2 linked regions of the Drosophila melanogaster genome follow. The protein of the gene in region 2 interacts with the protein of the main gene of each other region in a pairwise test. Each region holds a gene or a part of one and is shown on either strand. Other genes may lie near its edges.

Region 1 (4,934 bases), on a different chromosome or scaffold from region 2:
ACCAACCTAAATGGGTCGCACATGCTGGGCTAAGAAATTTGACATCGATCTACGATTGGCTGGAGTTTAACTGGTTTCTAATTTTGCTAAAAGAGTTAATAATATTGTGTGGTCAGCAGGGAATTCCAACGGAAGAAAGCTATTACTTAGTACATCTTTGGTTCACTATGATAACTCTATTACAAGAAATAAGAAAAAATACAACAAAAAATATTGCTACTATTGAAAGGTTTCCAACTTCTATTTAAAATATTACAAAATTATTGCCGTGACATTTAGTGGATTGAAAACAATCAATTGTGCTGTGTAGAAACTACAAAAACCTAAATACACACAATTTGGCTACCAAACATTTCATTCAGAATGCCGCATTAAAGTCAAATACACTTGCTAATAATTTCGCTTTGGCTTGAATGGCTGAAACGTTTTAAACCTATTGAATAAACAGGGTTTCGAACAATGCAAAACAAAGGCTCAAATACCGGGGAACTCATTAAATAAAATGAGAACAAGCCGTTCGGCTCGCCAGACTGAGATGGAGAAACAAAAAAAAAAAAAAAACAATCAACCACAAGAAGTTGGTGCAAAATAAAGTCTAACACAAAAAAAAAAACGAAAGATAAAAAACAATAACAGCGACTACAACATCAACAGGGAAAAAAAAACCCCCAGATGAAAAGTTCAATGCACGCAAATCGGATTAAGCAAAGAAATTAAGTAATACTTGTACTAGTGGAAATCCATTGAACTGCAAGTGGTGTTCATAGAAAAGTGGCAAATAGAAAGGTGGGCCGGATATTGAACGGAAGTTGCACGCCCACCCAGTTATTACAATATAGATATAGAATAGTTGGATAGATAGGTCAGTAAAGTCAAAACCATTACCTTTTAATCGCCAGAAATGTGTGTTCAGTACAAATCCGAATGTGTAAATCCAAAAATGACACTAAGCAAGTTTCTCAATTCTCACAATTATGTTTTGGTTCAAAAATCCGAGCACTTAGCACTCCGAATGTCGAATTTTTGGGATCGTTACGAGTTTAGAGTGAACCAAACCGGGTTTTTTTTTTGTTTTGTTTAGAATCACGCCGTATCGGGAATAGCGAACCGAACGCATCGAAGCTTAAAACTCAACTGATTCCAAGTTGCGGCTACCGTTTTCTTCGAGCGCCACGCGCTCAAAAGCTTTCCCACCAAAGCTTTTTCACATGGAACAAAACTTTTGTTGGGCTTTCTTGACCATTTCGATTAAGCCAAAAAGTTGACATCTTTCTGGCCCGAAGTTATAGCGAGCTATAAGCCGAAATACTATGTTTTATCTTTAACAACAATCTTAAAGTTAAATATTTACTTAAGTGTTGTGTTTTTCAGACTTTCACCGACCCAATGGTATGTGGACTAAAAAATGTTTAATTCCAAATATACAAGTACTAAGAAATAATATTACTCATCCGCCACGTTAAACATGTGCATATAGTTCTCAAAAGCCATTTTGCAAAAGTGCAAACTTATGACAATAATCAAGAATAACTATTGAACCATAACTATTAGTCTACTCCACATATTACTAAGTAATCCTCTAAGTATAAGTCCATCAGTTAGCTTTATATCGTTTTCTGCATGGTATTTATATGGAATTAATGCTTGTTTAGTTTTTGAAAGCATAGTTTGTAAAAAACAAAACCCAATAATTAAACAAAAAATTTTAAATATGTTTTTATTTAAATATTGCGAACTTAATAAGAGTAAAGTAACATTAGGATTAACAAGGTGCGTGTGGGTCGTTCATGTAGATCTTCAGGGTCTGCGGTGTTCCAAACGAGATGTCCTTCTTATTCCCAACTCGATCGGTTCTTCCTCTTTCCATCACGTGAGTGGCGGAACTTGCGGCGTCGGTTCGACTTGTGGGTCTTCTTCTTGTAGTGGACAACGGTAGCCTTCTTCTTTGGTTTCTTGGTGGTGGGAGTCACGGTGGTGCTGCTTCCGGTTGCCGAAGGCGAAGTGGTGGACGTGTCTGTATCAGTGGTCGGAATAGTGACCGAAGGAATAGTGACCGATGGAATAGTGACCGATGAAACAGTGACCGATGAAACAGTGACCGTGGCGGGAGAAGTCAGTGCCCAGGCAGTCGAAACGAAAGCCGCGATGGCAAGGAAGATAGTTAGCTGGGATCGCATCTTGAACAATGTTTTAGACTGCTATGACTGATGTGCTTCTTTCTGGGCGAAGCTGGCGTATATATAGCCAAATCAAGAGGAAGATCTCATATATGTTTTCCCTAAGCAAACAGCAAACAGTCGTTTTAAATCGAATCGGAATGTGATGTTTTAGTAAATTTGGGTTGCTTAAACAGAGATCAATACCACATTTTCGCAATGTATAATTAGGCTATTTATACAGAGGCTCACTTAATTATACGCCATTCATTTATTTTTAAAATACTAATTTCTTAGAGAAACGGATGTAAGTTGGGTGGGTAGCCAAAGTATTGAAATAAAAGATTTTTTTTTGTGTCATAACTTCGTATTTATTTTCCGTATAACTACATAGTGAAATACTTTACGAACTGACTCTCAATGGAATGTAAATTTAAATCGGACTGGAGAGCCTTATACATAAGGTTTTGAATTGTTACGAACCGAACTTGGAACCAAGTGTACGAATTGTAAATAAAGACGGCAATTTAAATTGACACGAAAAAAAAAGATAATATAAAATAAAAATTGGTCTTACCACAACGTATAAACATTTTCTGTTGCACATAGTTTGTATTTTATTCAAATGTTTTGCTCTGATCTATTAATTGGTGTAAAATAACTTGAGTGGTTGGGACTAACTTTACAAATGAGTCTCAAATGCATTTTAAGTAATGTGAAGTTCGGGTATAAACTAATCAAATCGAGGTGTATAGATATAAAATCAAATCACGGCTTTGCTTGGCGTACACACATATTAAATAATATTAATATCAGTTAGACTCAGAGACGTTCTATGAGCTAAATACAATGCTTTAGTTAGGCGAGTAATTTAGTTAAGATTTTACCACTTTTTCTTGAGTTTCCTTTTGCGTGTTTAATATTTAAGTTTTGTGTTTTCCAACTTGTACAATTACGAAACATTATTTTGGTTTTGCAATTACAATTAATAATTGAATGGCAATCTCTGTTCCATCTTTAGGCCCCACCCATGTCGTCCACGGCGATGGCACACAGCACGTACATCATTCCGGCGCTGAGGAGCGCCGTAACCGGCACCGTTACGATCCATGCATAGGCAATATTCCGGAATAGATGCCAATCGACACTGCCATCATCCATGGGCGCAACTTCGTTATGGGTCTCCTTATCGGTCTGATCATTCGGCTGACTCTTCTTCTTGCGACCTGATGCACTCACATGACCCACAAAAACCACCGAACCGACCTTGCAGTGAGTAGTCGAAATGGGCAGGCCAATTTTGCTGGCCAGCAGTACGGTGATGGCAGCTCCGACTTCAATAGTAAAGCCACTGAAAAATAGTTGAAAGTGAATGTTCTATTTGTGAAAGGATAAGGGAAATTAGGAACTGAATACTCACGTCGATGAGGTTATTTTCGTAAGGTCATTGCCAATGGTCTCGATGACTCGTCGTCCCCACAGCCAGAGACCCACAGAGATGCCGATGCCGCCGTAGATCAGAATATAGATGGGACTCTCGGCCTGCTGCATAACCGATCCCTCGCGATAGATCATATAGAGGGCAATCAGTGGGCCGATGGCGTTGCTCACATCATTGCCGCCGTGCGCAAAACTGCCAAATGTGGCTGTCAGGATCTGCAGAAACGAGAAGAGCATTGAAATCTCCGGAGTCTCCTCGGCGCCACTGGTTCTTCGTCCACCGCCCGTCGTTCGTTTCAGCTCCTCCTCCTGCTCATTCAGCGCCTCCTTGCTCTCGATCAGAGGAACCTTGCTGGAATTGGGCGATAAAGTGGAACTGATCATAAGATCAAGGCTGCCGCCGCTCTCCACCACTTGAAGGTTGTTATTTGTGGCTTTGGTCGATCCGGTTTCCAAGTCCGTGCCAATGGAGTTCGTCTTGCTCTGTAAGTGGAAAGAATCGAAGATTAGGCAAAGCAATCGAATTAGCTAGCTAGCACTAAACAGGTAGTACCTTCTGCTCCTCCTTGGGCGACTGCATCCGCTTGAAGCACTCCTGCAACTTGCGTCCATTTTGCTGCTGCTGCTGTTGTTGCTGCTGCTCGTCGATAAAATTCAGACTGGTAATCGTCAGATCCGTGTTGTCCAGGCTAGCCTTGCCCAGCAGATCCTCAGCCTTTTTGATCAGCTGCGGATCGATCTTGTACTCCTCCCCAAGCGCATTGTTGTTCTTGGCCGCCAATCCGAATGGAGCCAACTTAAAGGTCCTCGGCGAGTTGTCGCTCAACGAGACCAGCTCGGTTATTTCTGCGATGGCAGGCAGTGGCTTTCCTTCGCTAACCAGCGACAGGGGACGACGCTGCTTCTTGGGACTTCCCGACGGGGAAGATTCTGGAAGAAGAATTCAAAATTTATATTGTTATTAGCCAAACATTTGTTGGAAGAACAAAGGCCCCATTATTTGGTTAAAGTTTAAGTCGCATATGGAATAAGGTTTCTAATTTTTTTTATGAAAAACCAATACAAATTAGCTACAACCTTTGTATAAATAACCTAGATCCAAAAAACTTCCACATGGTGAATTGCGACTTAGCACGCACAAATAAACTGTTAGCTTACGCAAACAAAGAAAACCTCTTCCACTAATTTCCCTATAAATACTTAGGCTTCAGCTAAACAAGAGCACATTAGATTCAACACCTAAAGAATCCATTAGAGATGCGTTCGCAGCCAACTATCTTCCTTGCCATCGCGGCTTTCGTTTCGACTGCCTGGGCACTGACGATTGATCCCGCCACG
Region 2 (2,923 bases):
GCTTGAAAGCCAGCCATCGATAAGTCATCGACACCTGTTGAGATTTTGACAGGCATTTTCCTCCACACCAACGCACACCAACGCACACCACACCACACCACTACACACAGCACATTGTTGTAAAAATATTGTTGCCTAGTTTGCAGCACATTCAATGTGCATTGTGTCCATAATATTTTGTGATTTCAAATTGAAGCTCGTCGATGGGCACCTATTGTTCTCGTTTAGAGTGTAACACATATTTGTTTTGGTTTTGTTATGTCTGCTTTTGTTGAAAAGTGCTTGTCCATTGGAAATAATGCCTGTATTGTTACACTTCAAATGTATGTATCTCTTTAATATGTGAGAGCATAGTCTTTAAATAGTCATCAGCATTTTTTGTCTCAAATTTTTCGTGTTTACCCACACGAATTGGTCATGCAGATTGCATTTGTTAATTTCAACCGAATGGGGTTTCCTCGGAATTTTTTCGATCACCAAAAAAAAAATACAGTGTTTTTCGTGTGTGTGTTTTCGAATCAGACCAATGCACCAATCAATTATTGAATCATGAACAAAAAAAATATTTATTATGCATATAGTCCACATGTAGTTGTTGTTTCAACCATTTTCGCTCTAACCACGCCTCCTGGAATTGTTGTTCCTGCGCCTGTTGTTGTTGTTGGATGCCTTCTTTTTATTGTTGTTGTTGGACGCCCTCCTTTTGCGATTGTTGTTGCTGTTGGCCCTCTTCTTGTTGTTGTTGTTATTGTTGGCCTTCTTCCTATTGTTGCTAGCTCTCTTCTTGTTATTGTTAGCCTTCTTCCTATTGGCCCTCTTTTTAACAACTGGAGCTGTAGTAGGTGTATCATAATCCGTATCGGATCCAGAATCAGTATCATCATCGGAACCATCGTCCACATCGGAACTACTGCCAGAAGCATCATCTGAGGAACCGGAACTGTTCGTGGCACTGGACTCCGTGGTTGAGGTTACTATCGATCCGGATGCGGTTGTATTCTCATCGGAATCGGCGGATGAATCCGAATCGGCGGATGAATCCGAATCGGCATCCGAGTCCGTATCGGCACTCACAACCAGGGTAACGAAAAGCCCCAGGCACACAAAAAGCAACCATAACTTTGTCAACTTCATTTCGACACTATATTCTATTTGACTCTGAGGGATCCGATAATGCTATGTCGCAATTTATAGTAAAAGCTCCAGACCACGTTTTATTTACCCAAGCGAAGGCCAAAATTAAGTCAAATATCAAATCTCTCAGAACAAAAAAAAAATGGTTGAAAACAATAGAGCTGGTGATTGGTCTCCGCGATGACGGCAATTGGTTGGAAAAATGTGTATCTAATTGGCAAATGACAGGGTAACTGGAATGATCCTAGTTGAGTCTTGTCTATGTCTAACCATCGCCACAAGTAATAAAATTTGTTTACCTTAGTAAACGATTTGAGCAAAACTATTTGATTTGCTCACACAACTAGTACACGCAATTTTTCCACAACTCGATTCAGTCAAAAAAAAATAAATAAATAATAAACAAAATAATAAACAAAACCACGATCAATATGGAAGACTGCAACAGCTGCGGTTAAGTAAACTAAAGCTGGTGCTCGAGATAAGTTGGTTTAAGCCAACCCGCCGGTCCAAAAATGGAAAACATACCTTTCTATTCTGTAAATATTTGTGAAAGACAAGTTCGAGGCACCCGCACTGTCCTACACTTCACGAACATATTAATAATAATTTTTGATTCCATATATATTGAATTTAATATTAAAATCATTAAACAAATGGGCTTTAATTACAATGCGCAAACAATTTCAACAAGTTTATCATGATTCAGCATACCCTTAGCTGAATTATATTTGTATATCGCTTACTTTTAGTTTCTTCATTTTAAACCGTAGAAATTGTTATTTTTTTGTTGAGTGTATCTTAAATTGTTCGATGTGTCGATGGCAAAATGCAGTGGGTATATAAAGCGCATCACGCGGTATTGAATTCCAAAGTCAAGATGCGCTTGGAGTTGTTGGTTGTGTTATTGGTGGGGCTGGCTGCACTTGCCCCGTCAGGTTCTACATGCTGTAAAACTGAACCACCGAGATGCGAAACCGAACCACCGAGATGCGAAACCGAACCGCCAAGATGCGAAACCGAACCACCAAGATGCGAAACCACGCCACCCACATGCAAAACTGAGCCACCCACATGCAAAACTGAGCCACCCACATGCAGAACTGAGCCACCCACATGCAAAACTGAGCCACCCACATGCAGAACTGAGCCAGCCACATGCAAAACTGAGCCACCCACATGCAGAACTGAGCCACCCACATGCAAAACTGAGCCACCCACATGCAGAACTGAGCCACCCACATGCAGAACTGAGCCACCCACATGCAAAACTGAGCCACCCACATGCAGAACTGAGCCACCCACATGCAAAGCTGAGCCACCCACATGCAGAACTGAGCCACCCACATGCAAAACTGAGCCACCCAGTGAAAAGCACTGCACGAAACGCATCAAGCGACACCGCACAAAAAGAACCAAGCGATCGAAATCCACCAAAAAGATAGTACATCATCATAACCGTCCAGGAACGACACCAGAATCGGGATGTGGCTGTGGATCGAAAAACGAATCGGGCGGTGGAGGAAGCGGATGTATTTTGAAGGACCTGCTAACACCGAAGTGCCCCGATTCCAAATCGAAGTCTCAAGCTTCGTGCAAGCCTGCACCCAAGTGTAAATCCGACCCGAAACCGAAAGCCGCATCGAAAGCCACATCTAAGCCAAAGCCAAAGGCGTGTGATTCAGGCAAGAAGAACACCACCAAGAAACCGCGGAAGACTCAGCCACAAAAAGGTGGTTGCTAAACAGCAAACTTGACTCAAATGTCGTTGAATATGAATAAAATCACT

The links. The genes of interacting proteins can lie anywhere in the genome.
Region 1: the proteins of Pig1 (region 2) and CG14143 interact in a two-hybrid assay, tested with the Drosophila melanogaster proteins (one large-scale study listed by BioGRID).

What each region holds. Positions count from the first base shown.
Region 1 is NT_037436.4:11,132,240-11,137,173, reverse strand, and holds CG14143 (uncharacterized protein), read right to left. Parts: upstream 2,188-4,934; 5' UTR 2,178-2,187; coding exon 1,833-2,177; 3' UTR 1,694-1,832; downstream 1-1,693. Other genes in the region: CG32074 (uncharacterized protein), read left to right, coding at 4,854-4,934; NaPi-III (Na[+]-dependent inorganic phosphate cotransporter type III), read right to left, coding at 3,174-3,507, 3,577-4,079, 4,150-4,526.
Region 2 is NC_004354.4:3,248,100-3,251,022, forward strand, and holds Pig1 (Pre-intermoult gene 1), read right to left. Parts: upstream 1,191-2,923; 5' UTR 1,135-1,190; coding exon 616-1,134; 3' UTR 501-615; downstream 1-500. Other genes in the region: Sgs4 (salivary gland secretion 4), read left to right, coding at 2,015-2,878.